Linked DNA regions of Saccharomyces cerevisiae S288C. The gene in region 2 interacts genetically with the main gene of each other region. Each region holds a gene or a part of one and is shown on either strand. Other genes may lie near its edges.

Region 1 (4,108 bases), on a different chromosome or scaffold from region 2:
TGGTATCAGAGGATAAGATTGAGCAATGGAAAGCCACAAAAGTCATTGGTATAATTGGTCTGGGTGATATGGGCCTATTATACGCTAATAAATTTACAGATGCTGGATGGGGTGTTATATGTTGTGATAGGGAAGAATATTATGATGAACTGAAAGAAAAATATGCCTCAGCTAAATTCGAACTGGTGAAAAATGGTCATTTGGTATCCAGGCAAAGCGACTATATTATCTATAGTGTTGAAGCATCCAATATTAGTAAGATCGTCGCAACGTATGGACCATCTTCTAAGGTTGGAACAATTGTTGGGGGTCAAACGAGTTGTAAGCTGCCGGAAATCGAGGCTTTCGAAAAGTATTTACCCAAGGACTGCGACATCATTACCGTGCATTCCCTTCATGGGCCTAAAGTTAATACTGAAGGCCAACCACTAGTTATTATCAATCACAGATCACAGTACCCAGAATCTTTTGAGTTCGTTAATTCTGTTATGGCATGTTTGAAAAGTAAGCAAGTTTATTTGACATATGAAGAGCATGACAAGATTACCGCTGATACACAAGCTGTGACACATGCTGCTTTCTTAAGTATGGGATCTGCGTGGGCAAAGATAAAGATTTATCCTTGGACTCTGGGTGTAAACAAATGGTACGGTGGCCTAGAAAATGTGAAAGTTAATATATCACTAAGAATCTATTCGAACAAGTGGCATGTTTACGCAGGATTAGCCATAACAAACCCAAGTGCACATCAGCAAATTCTTCAATATGCAACCAGTGCAACAGAACTATTTAGTTTAATGATAGATAACAAAGAACAAGAACTTACTGATAGACTATTAAAAGCTAAGCAATTTGTATTTGGAAAGCATACTGGTCTCTTACTATTGGATGACACGATTTTAGAGAAATATTCGCTATCAAAAAGCAGCATTGGTAACAGCAACAATTGCAAGCCAGTGCCGAATTCACATTTATCATTGTTGGCGATTGTTGATTCGTGGTTTCAACTTGGTATTGATCCATATGATCATATGATTTGTTCGACGCCATTATTCAGAATATTCCTGGGTGTGTCCGAATATCTTTTTTTAAAACCTGGCTTATTAGAACAGACAATTGATGCAGCTATCCATGATAAATCATTCATAAAAGATGATTTAGAATTTGTTATTTCGGCTAGAGAATGGAGCTCGGTTGTTTCTTTTGCCAATTTTGATATATACAAAAAGCAATTTCAGAGTGTTCAAAAGTTCTTTGAGCCAATGCTTCCAGAGGCTAATCTCATTGGCAACGAGATGATAAAAACCATTCTGAGTCATTCTAGTGACCGTTCGGCCGCTGAAAAAAGAAATACATAATGTTTTTAATGCTGATTTCCTATAATATTAGGCCTTCTTTTGTGAAAAGGAGTATATTTATATAACTGAATAAAAATATATATTGTGACAAATGCCCATGCAAAAAATCGTGAAAAAAGGAAGAAAGTTCTACTATTCTATGTAAAAATAAACCCATTAGATTTTTTTCCTCTTTGTGTAATGCTCACTACCGCGATTATCGTTCGTTTCATCTGGACATGCCAACGTTCTTGACCTTTTAGAACTTACGACCGGATGAATACTGTCATCATCACATGCAAGTAAGTTTTTGGTCATAAAGTCGATAGCATTGTAGTCATGTGTCCTTTTGTTAACGTTATTATTGTTGAGAGTAGATAACATACTAGACTTTCCTATGCTGCTGTTAGTATAAGGGTTCTTGCTGTTGTCTTGTGCGTGAAAGGTGTGGCTTTGAGCATTGTAAGAGGACATAAATTCATTGACACTGCCACCATTACTATTGCTGATATTATGATTTTTGGAATAGCTCTTTACTATAGAGTAATCACCTGGTTGTAAAGTACCTATCAGTTCCGGAAAATAAGATTTAAAGTCCTTATATATAATCCTATTCCACGCCCTGTTGAATTTTACCGTTGACGGTGAATACTGTAAGTCTTCCGTTGCTTGAATATGAAAAAGCGGTTGCCATATGTGGAAAAGTAAATCCTGTAATCCCAAGTCTTTCAATAAAAGATAGTTTAAGTGTGTCATCGAAACCGTTCTGTTAATTGGAAAGCAACAATTTGGAGACAGACATTTCATGATGATATATGGATCCTGGTCGTTTCCGCCAATATAAAGTAGTAGATATACTTCCAAAGAAGTCCTGGGCTCGTACATTACCACGTGCCAAAGATGTAAGTCTGAATCATGTGGCCTTACATGAAAAAGACCTTGGGTCTTCTCAGGATGGCGCATAAAATATTTCCAATCCTTCAGCAATTTCCTTGTTAAAGAGTAAGCCATAATTATTAGCTTTTTGATTAAAATATAAAAAAATCTGTTTAGCTCTTATATCGCCTCCTCGCACAAAATCACGACAAAGGCAACGTTAGATTGATGCTCTCAAAACATACTAAGAATGTGTTCTATGATATATATGGGAAGAGTAGGTTAAATATTTCTTATGACAATAACAAAACCCACTGCATCGTACAGGACGGGTAACAGAGCCCTTTCCAATTGAAATTTTGAATAAAACTATTTTGCCTATAAAAGTTAGATTTACGACAATTAATATTAGGCAGAATGTTCTCGGAACTTTCAAGTAGTAAAGGATTGCGTGGTTCATTTGTATTTACGAAACGGTGAGTAATAAGGTTTCTAAAACCAAAGGAAAAATAAAGAAAGATCTAAGAAGAAAGTTCCAGTAAAGTGAGTTATAGATCAAGATGGGTAACATTTTTAGTTCAATGTTTGACAAACTATGGGGTTCAAACAAAGAATTGCGTATATTGATTTTGGGTTTGGATGGTGCAGGTAAAACTACCATCTTATATCGTTTACAAATTGGCGAAGTAGTCACTACAAAGCCAACCATTGGTTTCAATGTAGAGACGCTAAGTTATAAAAACTTAAAATTGAACGTCTGGGATCTTGGTGGTCAAACAAGTATCAGGCCCTACTGGAGGTGTTATTATGCAGACACTGCTGCAGTTATTTTCGTTGTTGATTCGACTGATAAAGATCGTATGTCTACAGCCTCTAAGGAACTTCATTTGATGTTACAGGAAGAAGAATTGCAAGATGCAGCACTGCTGGTTTTTGCAAATAAACAAGACCAACCGGGTGCATTAAGTGCCAGTGAAGTCTCCAAAGAACTGAATCTTGTAGAATTGAAGGACAGAAGTTGGTCTATCGTAGCATCCAGTGCAATTAAAGGCGAAGGTATTACCGAAGGTTTAGATTGGTTGATTGATGTTATAAAAGAGGAACAGTTATAGCGATAAAGATTTGCAAAAAAAAAGTGTAGATGCATACTTTTTAAATGGCATTGAATATACATATAATTTGTTTTGTAACTGAATTATCAAGGAGCTCTATCCAAACATAATAGAGTTAGTAAGTGTATACATGTTTCTCTTTGGGTTTTAATTCTAAAGGCAATTACATCGTTCCGATGAATGAGAAGGCCGCATTAAAATACCTAATGACCTCTTAATGAAAGTTGCATATATACATTTAAATTAAATTGTCATTTCAATTCCGATTTATTGAAACAGGACGTCCGAAAGCAGAAACAGATTTATGTGCTTAATAACCCAATAAAGGACTTCAATGTATTCACGAAACAACACCCTTTTAATAACTAGAATAAATAATGTTACAATACCTACACTACTTCATACTTGATTCAAGAATAATTTTTTTTAATTCTTTCCCTAGATCAATAAGTTTCAATTCATTTTTATTTTTCCAAGAACAAACGTGTCTGTAGTCACAAAACTTACAGTATGTGTTGAAGTTTTTTTGAGTAGGCTCAATTGGATGCATATCTCTGCCACCAAACCAAACCATTGCAGAATCATGGGCATGGGTTCCCAGTTTCAAGGGATCATATGGGAAGATGATATTGTGGAAATTATCGTTATGGTAATAATATTCTATCATTAAATCATTCGAAACGAGATTACCCACAATAAAATAGATCTGTGATAACCTTGCCGCAAAGTATTTCAAAGTTAGAGGTGTCTTCCATTTCGTATAAAAATGTCCATAATCTCGCA
Region 2 (4,666 bases):
AAAAATTGAAAAATTTGAAAAAAAAAAATCTAGAAACATATTTTCCTAAAATGAAAATCGGAAGCTAACAAAATTTTTGAAAAACGAAATAAAGAAGAAAGATTATTATTATTACTTTTTTTATTAGTACTCCATATGGACCTCTTAGGTGAGTGATCTTATTAAAAAAAATAAAAAAAATAAAAAAATATGAAAAAAAAAGAAAATTAAAAACTAAACAAATTTTATGACAGGAATAAAAACTATAAAAAATGAAAACCAAAAAAAAAAAGCACTGGATTTTTAACATCTTGTCCTTTTCTTTCCCTTTATCATTTTTTCTCATTTACTTTGTTATTAATTTTTTTTTTCAAGTTCTCCACATATACATATGTAAGAATTGAGTCTATCTCTTTCTAATATTTAAGAAATACATAAAAAAACCAATTTTTTTTTTTTATTACTAGCAAATTTATTTTTGTGAAGTGAAATTCATACATTGGCTTATTAAAGGTATTAAATATTACTGAAATTTTATGAACCAAAAAGAATAATGGATGATTGTAAGGTTACATGCAATATATCAAGATATTACTAGAGATTATTTACCGCCAGCTTCTCTAAACCACCTGATGCTTCTATCTAAACAAACACAGCATAAACTTTCATTTAAATCAGCTCCCATACCAGATCTCCAACCTTTTTTCAAAAACTTCACGTCAAAGACACCAGGTTCAGCTAAAGAATCTCCATGTTCATCAACAGCTAAGATATCCTCTTCAATTTCAATATCATCACAATGCATATTCAATGTAGTGATTCTTTCCTTTGTTTTTACATCCCAAAATCTCAATTTACCATCCCATCCGGCACTGCATAATGTTTCACCAGAATCATTAAACGATAGACTCATGACCCAGCTAGAATGTGCAAATTCACCCAGACTTGCCTGCGAGCTATGGGTTGGTACGGATAAGGAGCCTATTCTTTCACCAAATTCAGTTTCATATAGAGTGATGCAACCAAATGAATTTGAATCGTGAGCAATGGCTAATAAGGATCCTTGAGGAGAAAATTTCACCGATCTGATGGAATTCGAATTATTAATCATAGAATGCTGAGATTCAAAATTGTACAACGGGCGTAATGTAGATAGTTCTGAAATTTGTACTGTTCCATTATTAAAACCTGTGGCAATTAGTCCTCGTTCAGAGATATCCACAGAAGTGGCAAATTGACTTGGAGTCATAGGCGATTCGACAGTGCCTTGTAATTCTAACGTGGGGCTCCAATTTAGTGTTAAAGAATTTGACTCATCTGCAAACGGGTGAAACTTCCAAATGTAAGTGGTCCCTTTGACGTCTGTAGCAACCAGCCTATGGGAAAGTAGTCTGTCATTTGAGGCACCCCATTTTAATGCCCAAAAGGAATGCTTTTTCATGTCTGAGTCTAGAAGATCCAATTTCTCGAATATAACTTTTTTAGTCTCATCTTCTCTAGTGATACGATAGAAGAGTAAATCGCCAGAAAATGAAGTGGTAGCAACAAGGCATAATTCAAATGCATCTCTCTCAATAGCTTGCAAGACATCGACATGGTGCAATCCGGACTTATGGACAAAGTGAGAATATGACTTATCTTTTGGATTTTCATTATCTAACAGCTTATTATCCCACACCTTTAAGTAACCGTCACCTGAACAACTTACCGTAAATGAATTGCAAGCAGAAACCGAGAAAATATCAGCGTCATGAGCTTTACCTGCATTTGCTGTGGCAATAAACACTTTGGACATTTTTCCAATACTTGATTAACCTCTTTTTCGTTTCTTGTCTTTATTTTAGATTTGTTTTAATATCGCCTAATTTTTCCTTCTTTACTTTATATTTTTTTTATTTTTCGCCTAAAGATTTGTATCAATTAATTAGCCAACAAAAACAAAAACAATAAAGTCATATAAGGGTTGATAATTGATATTGATGGCAGCTAATTCTGTAGGGAAAATGAGTGAAAAGTTAAGAATCAAGGTGGACGATGTTAAAATCAACCCCAAGTATGTTTTATACGGTGTTAGTACACCAAACAAGCGCCTTTACAAAAGGTATTCCGAGTTTTGGAAACTGAAGACACGATTGGAGAGAGATGTAGGAAGCACCATCCCATATGACTTCCCTGAAAAGCCCGGTGTATTGGACAGGAGGTGGCAAAGAAGATATGATGATCCGGAAATGATCGATGAAAGACGGATCGGACTAGAGAGGTTCCTCAATGAATTGTATAACGATCGTTTTGATTCTCGATGGAGAGACACAAAAATAGCGCAAGACTTCCTGCAGTTGTCAAAGCCAAATGTTTCTCAAGAAAAGTCACAGCAGCATCTAGAAACTGCTGACGAAGTGGGATGGGATGAGATGATAAGAGATATTAAATTGGATTTAGATAAGGAGAGTGATGGCACACCCAGCGTGCGTGGAGCACTAAGGGCACGTACGAAGCTCCACAAGTTACGAGAGCGACTAGAACAGGATGTGCAAAAGAAGTCTCTTCCAAGCACGGAAGTGACTCGTCGCGCCGCTCTATTGAGGTCCTTGCTCAAGGAATGCGATGACATTGGTACAGCAAACATAGCTCAGGACCGTGGACGACTTCTGGGGGTTGCCACCAGTGACAACTCTTCAACCACGGAAGTTCAAGGAAGAACGAATAACGATTTGCAACAGGGGCAGATGCAAATGGTGCGCGATCAAGAACAAGAGTTGGTTGCACTGCACCGAATTATCCAGGCACAACGTGGATTGGCCTTAGAGATGAACGAGGAGCTGCAAACACAGAATGAGCTACTTACAGCACTTGAAGATGACGTCGATAACACTGGTAGGAGGTTACAGATAGCCAACAAGAAGGCTAGACATTTTAACAACAGTGCTTGAATTAATGAGTTACTATCCGGGTTACAAATCCTGAGAGTATATTTGTACTAAAAAAAAAAATTGTAAATCTAGTAATTGAAAAATTTTGGCGATGAGACGATATGGTAAGAGTAAAGCAAAGGAACCGTCATGTCGTTTACTGCTCCTTCAGATCCCGTCAATAAACCGACAAAAGTGAAGGTATCACAGTTGTGTGAACTATGTCATTCAAGAAAGGCTCTCATTAGAAGACCCAAAAACCTGTCTAAACTTTGCAAACAATGCTTCTGCCTCGTGTTCGAGACGGAGATCCATAACACTATTGTAGCAAATAACTTGTTTCAGAGGGGAGAAAAAGTAGCCGTGGGGGCCTCTGGTGGTAAAGACTCCACGGTGTTAGCGCATATGCTGAAGCTTCTGAATGACCGTTACGATTACGGCATTGAGATTGTACTGTTGAGTATTGACGAAGGAATCATCGGATACAGAGATGATTCCTTGGCCACGGTGAAAAGGAATCAGCAGCAGTATGGCCTTCCTTTGGAGATTTTTTCCTTTAAGGACCTCTATGATTGGACAATGGATGAGATTGTATCCGTTGCTGGTATAAGGAACAGTTGCACGTATTGTGGTGTTTTTAGAAGACAATCATTGGACCGTGGTGCTGCAAAGCTGGGCATATCTCACGTTGTCACCGGCCACAATGCAGACGATATGGCAGAGACAGTACTAATGAATATCCTACGTGGTGACGTAGCAAGATTGGAAAAATCGACTGCGATTATCACACAAAGTAGCGGCTCTCCCATCAAGAGATCAAAACCATTTAAATATTCTTACCAAAAGGAAATTGTCCTGTATGCGCACTACATGAAGCTGGATTATTTTTCCACTGAGTGTACCTATGCCCCAGAAGCGTTTAGGGGCACTGCGAGAGAATACATGAAGAATCTGGAAGCAGTGAGGCCCAGTTGCATTATAGACATCATCCAAAGTGGCGAAAATTTGGCATTAAAGGCTAAAAAATCTAACGCTGGAAAGAGAGTCGTCAAATTTGTTGACGGCAATAGATGCGCTAGATGTGGATATCTGTCGTCAAATAACATTTGCAAGGCGTGCATGTTGCTGGAAGGACTGGAGAAAAGTAGAGCCCAAGTGGCAATCGAGAATGACACTTCTGCCGATGGTGCAGCCTTGAAGCTGAGAGCTCTTGAGAAACTCAGCTTTTGACATATATATAGCTCGCAGTAGAAGAATGCAGCGTAACATAATATAATATAATATAGTACGGCGCGCCCTCCATTAGAACGCGCAACACAATAAAGACAAATAAAAGAATCAGCTATAAAGCTGGCCATTGCATGGTTCGCGCTGGAAAGAGAGGAAAAGCGTGGTGATAAAGAGCGAACCAAGCATATTGTTTTCCAAGAATGAGCAACGAAGATTACGGATACGACTACGATTATTTATTTAAGATAGTTCTTATCGGCGACTCCGGTGTGGGTAAATCTAATCTGTTGTCGAGATTTACAACCGATGAATTCAACATTGAATCCAAATCCACGATTGGCGTGGAATTCGCTACAAGAACCATTGAAGTTGAAAACAAGAAGATAAAAGCACAGATTTGGGACACGGCAGGTCAAGAACGTTACAGGGCCATCACGTCTGCGTACTACCGTGGTGCTGTAGGTGCACTTATAGTGTATGATATAAGCAAATCAAGTTCATACGAAAATTGCAACCACTGGCTTACCGAACTGAGAGAGAACGCAGAT
Region 3 (5,940 bases), on a different chromosome or scaffold from region 2:
CCACTTCAATATTTTTCTTGATAAGTTTTGCCGTAATTTCTTCATTTTGAATCTGTTTGGGGGCGGAAAGAACTATTTTTCTAGATTTTAGCGATGGCCATATAATAGATGCAGACCTTTGATCAACTAAACTCTGTAAATTTAGGATTACTACGGAGCATTTCAATTGGACATTTACAGTTGAGATTGTTCTTTTGGAGAGCGTTTTGTCTATCTTTAAATAGTCAAGGTTATCAAAATTTTCTGCTTCTCCGGTTCCAGAAAATCCCGAGTAACGAGAAGCACGGTGTTTGCTCCTTTTGCTAATTGGATCACTCATATTATAACCATCTTCTTCTTCATTTTTGTTATCTTCTTCGTTTACAGGGCTCGTGGTTTTAGCACCGTCTTTGAGAGGTCTTTTCCTGCTATTTTGATTAACATTGTCAGAATCATCAGGTAAAAACATCGTAAAATCTACAACAGTACCATAATCATCTTTCTTGATTTTAGCGGGGTTAAATGGGAACATTTTATGTTTTGAAGCGGCACTTGGTTGAATTATAATGTCTACAGGAACTTCCGTATTTTTTTTCGCTGCTGATTTCTCAGAGTTATCCTTGAGTAAATTCAACAAATTGTCGTTTTCTTCCTCTTCATCATCATCTTCGTCACCCCCCATAATATGATCAATCGGTGGTACTCCATTGACGTTTTCCACTAAAATGTCTTGATTTCTCATTGCCCTCTCTCCGTTGGTATCATCTATGATTGCGTTGCCGTTAGCCAGTTTCTTAGACTCTCTTTTCACCAGTAGAATTTTCTTATTTCTGTCCCTTTTCTTTTCTTTAAGCTGTACTTTAAACGCCTCTGTTTCCTCTTTACTCAAGGGTTCTTCTTTTATGGTGTCTATTGAAATGTAATTATCGCAGAGGAATGATTTACCATCTTCAGGAAATGTTTTCCAATTTCTTTCATCTTGTTCAACAATTTCTAGTATCTTGTCTAAAGACGACGCACATTCAAAGCTCGGCTTGGTCAAAATCAAGGTTGTCTTCTCAGAATTACCAACTTTAATTATCACTTCATTAATCAAAGCTCCTACCTCAGATACGAAGCAAATCTTTGAACCAGGATATTTACTCAATTCGTTTGGTGCGATGATTTTGATCCGTGATCCAATTTCAAATGGAGAAGTATTATTTCTGTTTTCCCATGTCTTAAGTAGTGAAGGGGACAGCCACTCGAGCATTGATTTGGCATATGTTAGAGTTCTTCCTCTCGCGTAAGACAGAATAAGTACAGGTACTTGTGTGTGCGCATTGATCTTTGTGCTTTCAAATAATAACTCATGAACTTGTGTGAACAGGTCCAGAAATTTGCCACTCATATCTACCGGTATTATAACGGACCCATCCGAACTCAAACCTTTCTTTAATGTATCTTTAAAGATTTTTGAACGTTTTTTAAACGGTTGAGAGGAGCCAAACCTGTCCAAAGTAGTAATTATTGCAGAGGGCCTCATCAAAGTTGATAAGGGCTTACCAGTGGCGTCCAATATAGAAGCAGCATTTAGTATGTTATCTCTAGTGTGGTTCCATCGCTTTGCATAAACCAATTTCTCTGAGTATGTGCTAATGCACCAAATAGAACCACCTGGACACACACCAGCATTGTACGCCAGTAAAGTCAATCCATCGTATCTTGATCGTAGATCTACCAATTGCGAGTACTTCAAAGGTACAATATGATCAAAAGATATCTCAATATCTTCAAGATCGAGTTTATTTGTGTCATATGGACCTATAACACCTGCAGATGCATATGAATCTATGGTGGAAACTCTCCCTAAGTTGATAACAGGAAGAGTTGCGTAAACTTGAATTCTGGATATGAAATGCGAGGTAAAATTATAGTACAGAAGGGAATGAGCACCTAAACATTCAATTGTTGGTTGTGATAGTATTATTACATCAATTTCCGGTATCACTTTTTCCCAGTACTTGATGCATTGCTCATACGATACTTTAGATGGATTCCAACCGGGATCGATTAACAAGGTGACGTTATCAAATCGTACCACTGAACCAACGGTGGTTCCTGATCCATCATCACAGCAATTGTATTTATAAGTCATATATATTCGTCGCCCTCAATGTATGTTCTTCATTTCATCTTCTGTGTTATTTCTTTAGCGAACAAATATTCGTGAATTCGATGTTAAAACTGCAGATTGTTTAAGAAAAGCGGGAAAACGCCGCCGAAAGAAAAAATCTTTTTCTAGTAATATTTCTTATTACAACAAACATTGAACATTGAATGACTTCAATCCGTAAGGGTTCATTGCTTGTATAGTTGGACTATATGTCATAGGTGAATCATTATTTCTTGAACTCAGGTTCGCTTTACTCAGTCTAGTGCACGTGAGATTACACTGCAAAAACTCCATGAACCAAAGAACTTACCTTAGACTTGCATTTGGGAGCAAAGTTTACACTAATTAATGCTTTTTATTTTTATTGTCCCAACCTTCTAATGTGTGGATTATTAATGGGGTAAGTTGAACTTCTATTACTTCCATTGAACGTTTGAGAAGTATCATTGCTTAGGAGGTTTGCCTAGCAAAAATAGCCGCTGAAATGATGCTTGTCCGTCGGGTAATGATTATACGAACGGGTAACGGAAGATATGGAAGCTAACCCAACAGAGAGCAGTCAATAATGGATCTTGCATAAGAATGTACGGCCCGATCAAGCATCCTTACAGCTCATTCACGAAGTTTCCTTTTCAAGAAAATTTTGAAGCCTTAAAGGAATCCAAGCAGGAAGACCATATCAAACTAACATATACATTCTGCCTCGCTGCAACCTTGTTGTCAAAATAATGGATGAACACGAGGAAGCAGTCATCTTCGGTATCTGCCTTGTGGACTTTCATCACAAAAGAGGCCCTGAAATAGAATACTGGTATGGCTTACCTGAGGGCACCCAAAGTGCAGAACTATGGCCAAATTTACCCTTCCAGGCCCTTCCTGATGGTTCTCACTCGTTTGAAGAAACATTTACTTATTTCACATTACTATATGATGAAAGAAGACAAAGGAGCCCTCCCAACGGGGCAACTGATCTGAGTGATGATAGCATCAATGACAACACGACTTTGTTTGCCATATCTTGCTCGAGACAGATAAAGAGTGATGAATTGGTCACTAAAGATAAGGATGTAACACGATCTACTGTACAGAAGGCAATTGTAGTCATCTCAAGGCAACCAATCTTCGGTCAAATCAAGGACAAACTTAGTATTGTGACTAATGCTTTTTTCTTGCAGCATGATTTTGGGGACAGGAAGATAATCCAGTCTTTATACGAAAACCTGAAGTCGATTTACACGCCTGCATCATTGGTCAGAAATGCCGAAAATCGTCTTTATATTGGGTTATGTCTGAGAAAGATACTACATGATTTTAAGAGAAACGCTTTAGTCTTATTGAAAGCAATTATGCTTGAAAAAAAAATTATAGTTTACGGCAACGACGTGGAAGCTTTGTGTAATTTACAGTTCGGTCTGATCAGCTTAATTCCGGACTTGATGTCAAATTTGCAGGATTCTGGCAGTCCTCAGTTGTTTCAGGATATTTCGAAATTAAATGTTGTGGACTCGTTTAAATCAAGCAATCGAGAATCAGTGTTGAGATTCTTAGGTTTTCCATTACCGATTTTCGAAAAAGGTGGACTATTTTCACCCTATACTCCACTGCAGCAAATGAATGACATACGGTCAGAACGTACTTTGTTTTTTATGATTGGAAGTTCCAACACATTGCTTGCTGAACAAAAGGAGGAACTGTGCCACATATTTGTCAATACAGACAATTCCACTGTAGATATTCTGGACAAGACTTTGAACCCCGTCCTCCAATTGTCAAGTCATGATAAAAAATGGATTGAATCTATATCTGGAATTGTATCAGACACATGGAACGAAAATGATGATGAAACTCCAAAAAACTCTCAATTTGAAGGCAGTGAGGATTTCATTAGGTGGCAATTCGAGGACTATTTAACGGGGTTACTTTCCAGTGTTAAATTAAGTGATTATTTGGACCTGCATAAAGAGAATGATCAAGCTTTGAAGACTATACCTGAGGATATGCTAAATTCCAATCCCGTTCATTTATTCAATTTGAATTGGGTTCAGAGTTGGAAAGAGACTCAAAATTTTCTGATATTCAACTCAAGAACAGATGATAGATTGTTCGACTTGTTTCCTCCGAAGCATATATATAACGGTGCCGACACTCTGTCTCTATTACAGCAACGATTTTTGGCCACATTTCATAATTTAAAAAGAAGCTCTAGCAACTCTTCAAGCAATAAAAATGGTCATCAAAGCGAGGAGGATATCAAAGACCAGGAAAGCATCGAGTCAAAAAAGTCTGTTTCCCAAATTTCTGTAAATCCTGGAAAGAATACAGACAAGCCAGCAGCCAACTTATGGAATTCATGGAAGGAATATTTCAATAAACCAAAGAATACTGCTAATGAAGATGTTACTGAATCCACAGAAGATCTCAAAAACAGAAGTAAAACATCGAACGCGATACAGAAAGCTATGATGGGCTTGGGTTTACATTATAAACCTGATGCGGAGACAGATCAACAAAGTGAAGAGGTGGGAAATAGTGAGGACAATGAAGATGATGATACTGATGAGGACTCTGAGGATGATGATGATGATGGTGGTGATGACGATGATAGTGAGGACGATGACGATGACGATGACGGTGAGGGCGATGAAAATGGCGATGACGGTGAGGGCGATGAAAATGGCGATGACGGTGAGGGCGATGAAAATGGCGATAAGGAAGACAGTCAAGATTTTAGCAATGGTTTTACAGACGTTACGAACATTAACACTGATCATGATAAAGAAAATGAACAGAATTTTGAGGGTAATGCAGAAAATTTTAATGAGGACGAAACCGTTGCAGATAAAGATATTGAAGGTGGTCCTGAGAGCAATAAAAATTCCGACAGTAAAACTGATATTTATGAAAACGATAGAAATGTTGAAGACTCATCTAAAACGAGAAATACAGTTAAAAAATCCAATGAGGAGGGCGGTGCGAATGACGCTGCTATAGGTAATTGTGTGCAGGATGAGGAAAAATTATGATATCTATACTATTTGTTAGCAATCGCGCTAAGATATGTTTATATGACAAAAAGAAAATCAAGAAACAGAGCCCTCCAGTTGTGAAAGTTGCAGGGGAAAAAATATCCGTGAATCTCAATACCTTTAGTCGTATTGGGATAATAGCTGAATAATAATTTATAGAAAACTGGGGTGACCTCCACAAGCACAATAAGATTCAGAAATTATAGAATATAGCTTTTTGGGGCTTTCCAAAAATGGAATAGAAAATTTTTTGAAGTTATTCTATTTGCATAGACGCTCATCAAACTATGTTTAAAGATTAACTTCATAGTAATCTTTTGAATGCTTTTTAGCTTCCTAAAGATGAATAACGTAGAAAGTTGAAATATTTAGAAACAATCGCAGTATCCTTGCTAGACCCTCTTTAATATTAATAGTAATCTTGCAAACAATAAAGATAAGTAAAGTTAACGATAAAAGCATCATTTTCAACAAAACTGAAGGGTAGCGACATAATTGTCGGAGCAAAAAAATCTTCCCCGCCAGGACTTGAACCTGGAATCTTCTGGTTCGTAGCCAGACGCCGTGACCATTGGGCCACGAGGAACAAGATTTATTGTTTTTGTTTTATTACGGGCTCGAGTAATACCGGAGTGTCTTGACAATCCTAATATAAACAGTCTTAGGGAAGTTACCAGTTGTCAAAACGGTTTATCAGATTAACTCACGGATGTTACTTATCTTATATATTATATAAAATATGAATCATACTAAGTGGTGGAAGCGCGGAATCTCGGATCT

Evidence for each region. A genetic interaction does not mean that the proteins touch.
Region 1: mutations in VAM7 (region 2) and ARL1 together harm fitness more than expected from each alone (negative genetic interaction), as found in Saccharomyces cerevisiae (4 studies listed by BioGRID).
Region 3: mutations in VAM7 (region 2) and AVL9 together harm fitness more than expected from each alone (negative genetic interaction), as found in Saccharomyces cerevisiae (4 studies listed by BioGRID).

The regions. Positions count from the first base shown.
Region 1 is NC_001134.8:567,092-571,199, reverse strand, and holds ARL1 (Arf family GTPase ARL1), read left to right. Parts: upstream 1-2,773; coding exon 2,774-3,325; downstream 3,326-4,108. Other genes in the region: TYR1 (prephenate dehydrogenase (NADP(+))), read left to right, coding at 1-1,358; UBS1 (Ubs1p), read right to left, coding at 1,515-2,348; EXO5 (Exo5p), read right to left, coding at 3,720-4,108. UniProt on the Saccharomyces cerevisiae protein: Recruits golgins such as IMH1 to the Golgi. Can bind and hydrolyze GTP. May be involved in trafficking events within the endosomal system.
Region 2 is NC_001139.9:89,474-94,139, forward strand, and holds VAM7 (Vam7p), read left to right. Parts: upstream 1-1,958; coding exon 1,959-2,909; downstream 2,910-4,666. Other genes in the region: SKI complex subunit WD repeat protein SKI8, read right to left, coding at 581-1,774; NCS6 (Ncs6p), read left to right, coding at 3,039-4,118; Rab family GTPase YPT32, read left to right, coding at 4,319-4,666. UniProt on the Saccharomyces cerevisiae protein: Essential for proper morphogenesis of the vacuole. May exist as structural reinforcement on the surface of the vacuolar membrane and be required for maintenance against rupture by osmotic pressure.
Region 3 is NC_001144.5:374,161-380,100, reverse strand, and holds AVL9 (Avl9p), read left to right. Parts: upstream 1-2,862; coding exon 2,863-5,157; downstream 5,158-5,940. Other genes in the region: cleavage polyadenylation factor subunit CFT2, read right to left, coding at 1-2,116. UniProt on the Saccharomyces cerevisiae protein: Functions in the late secretory pathway. Required for the generation of secretory vesicles as well as for actin polarization and polarized growth.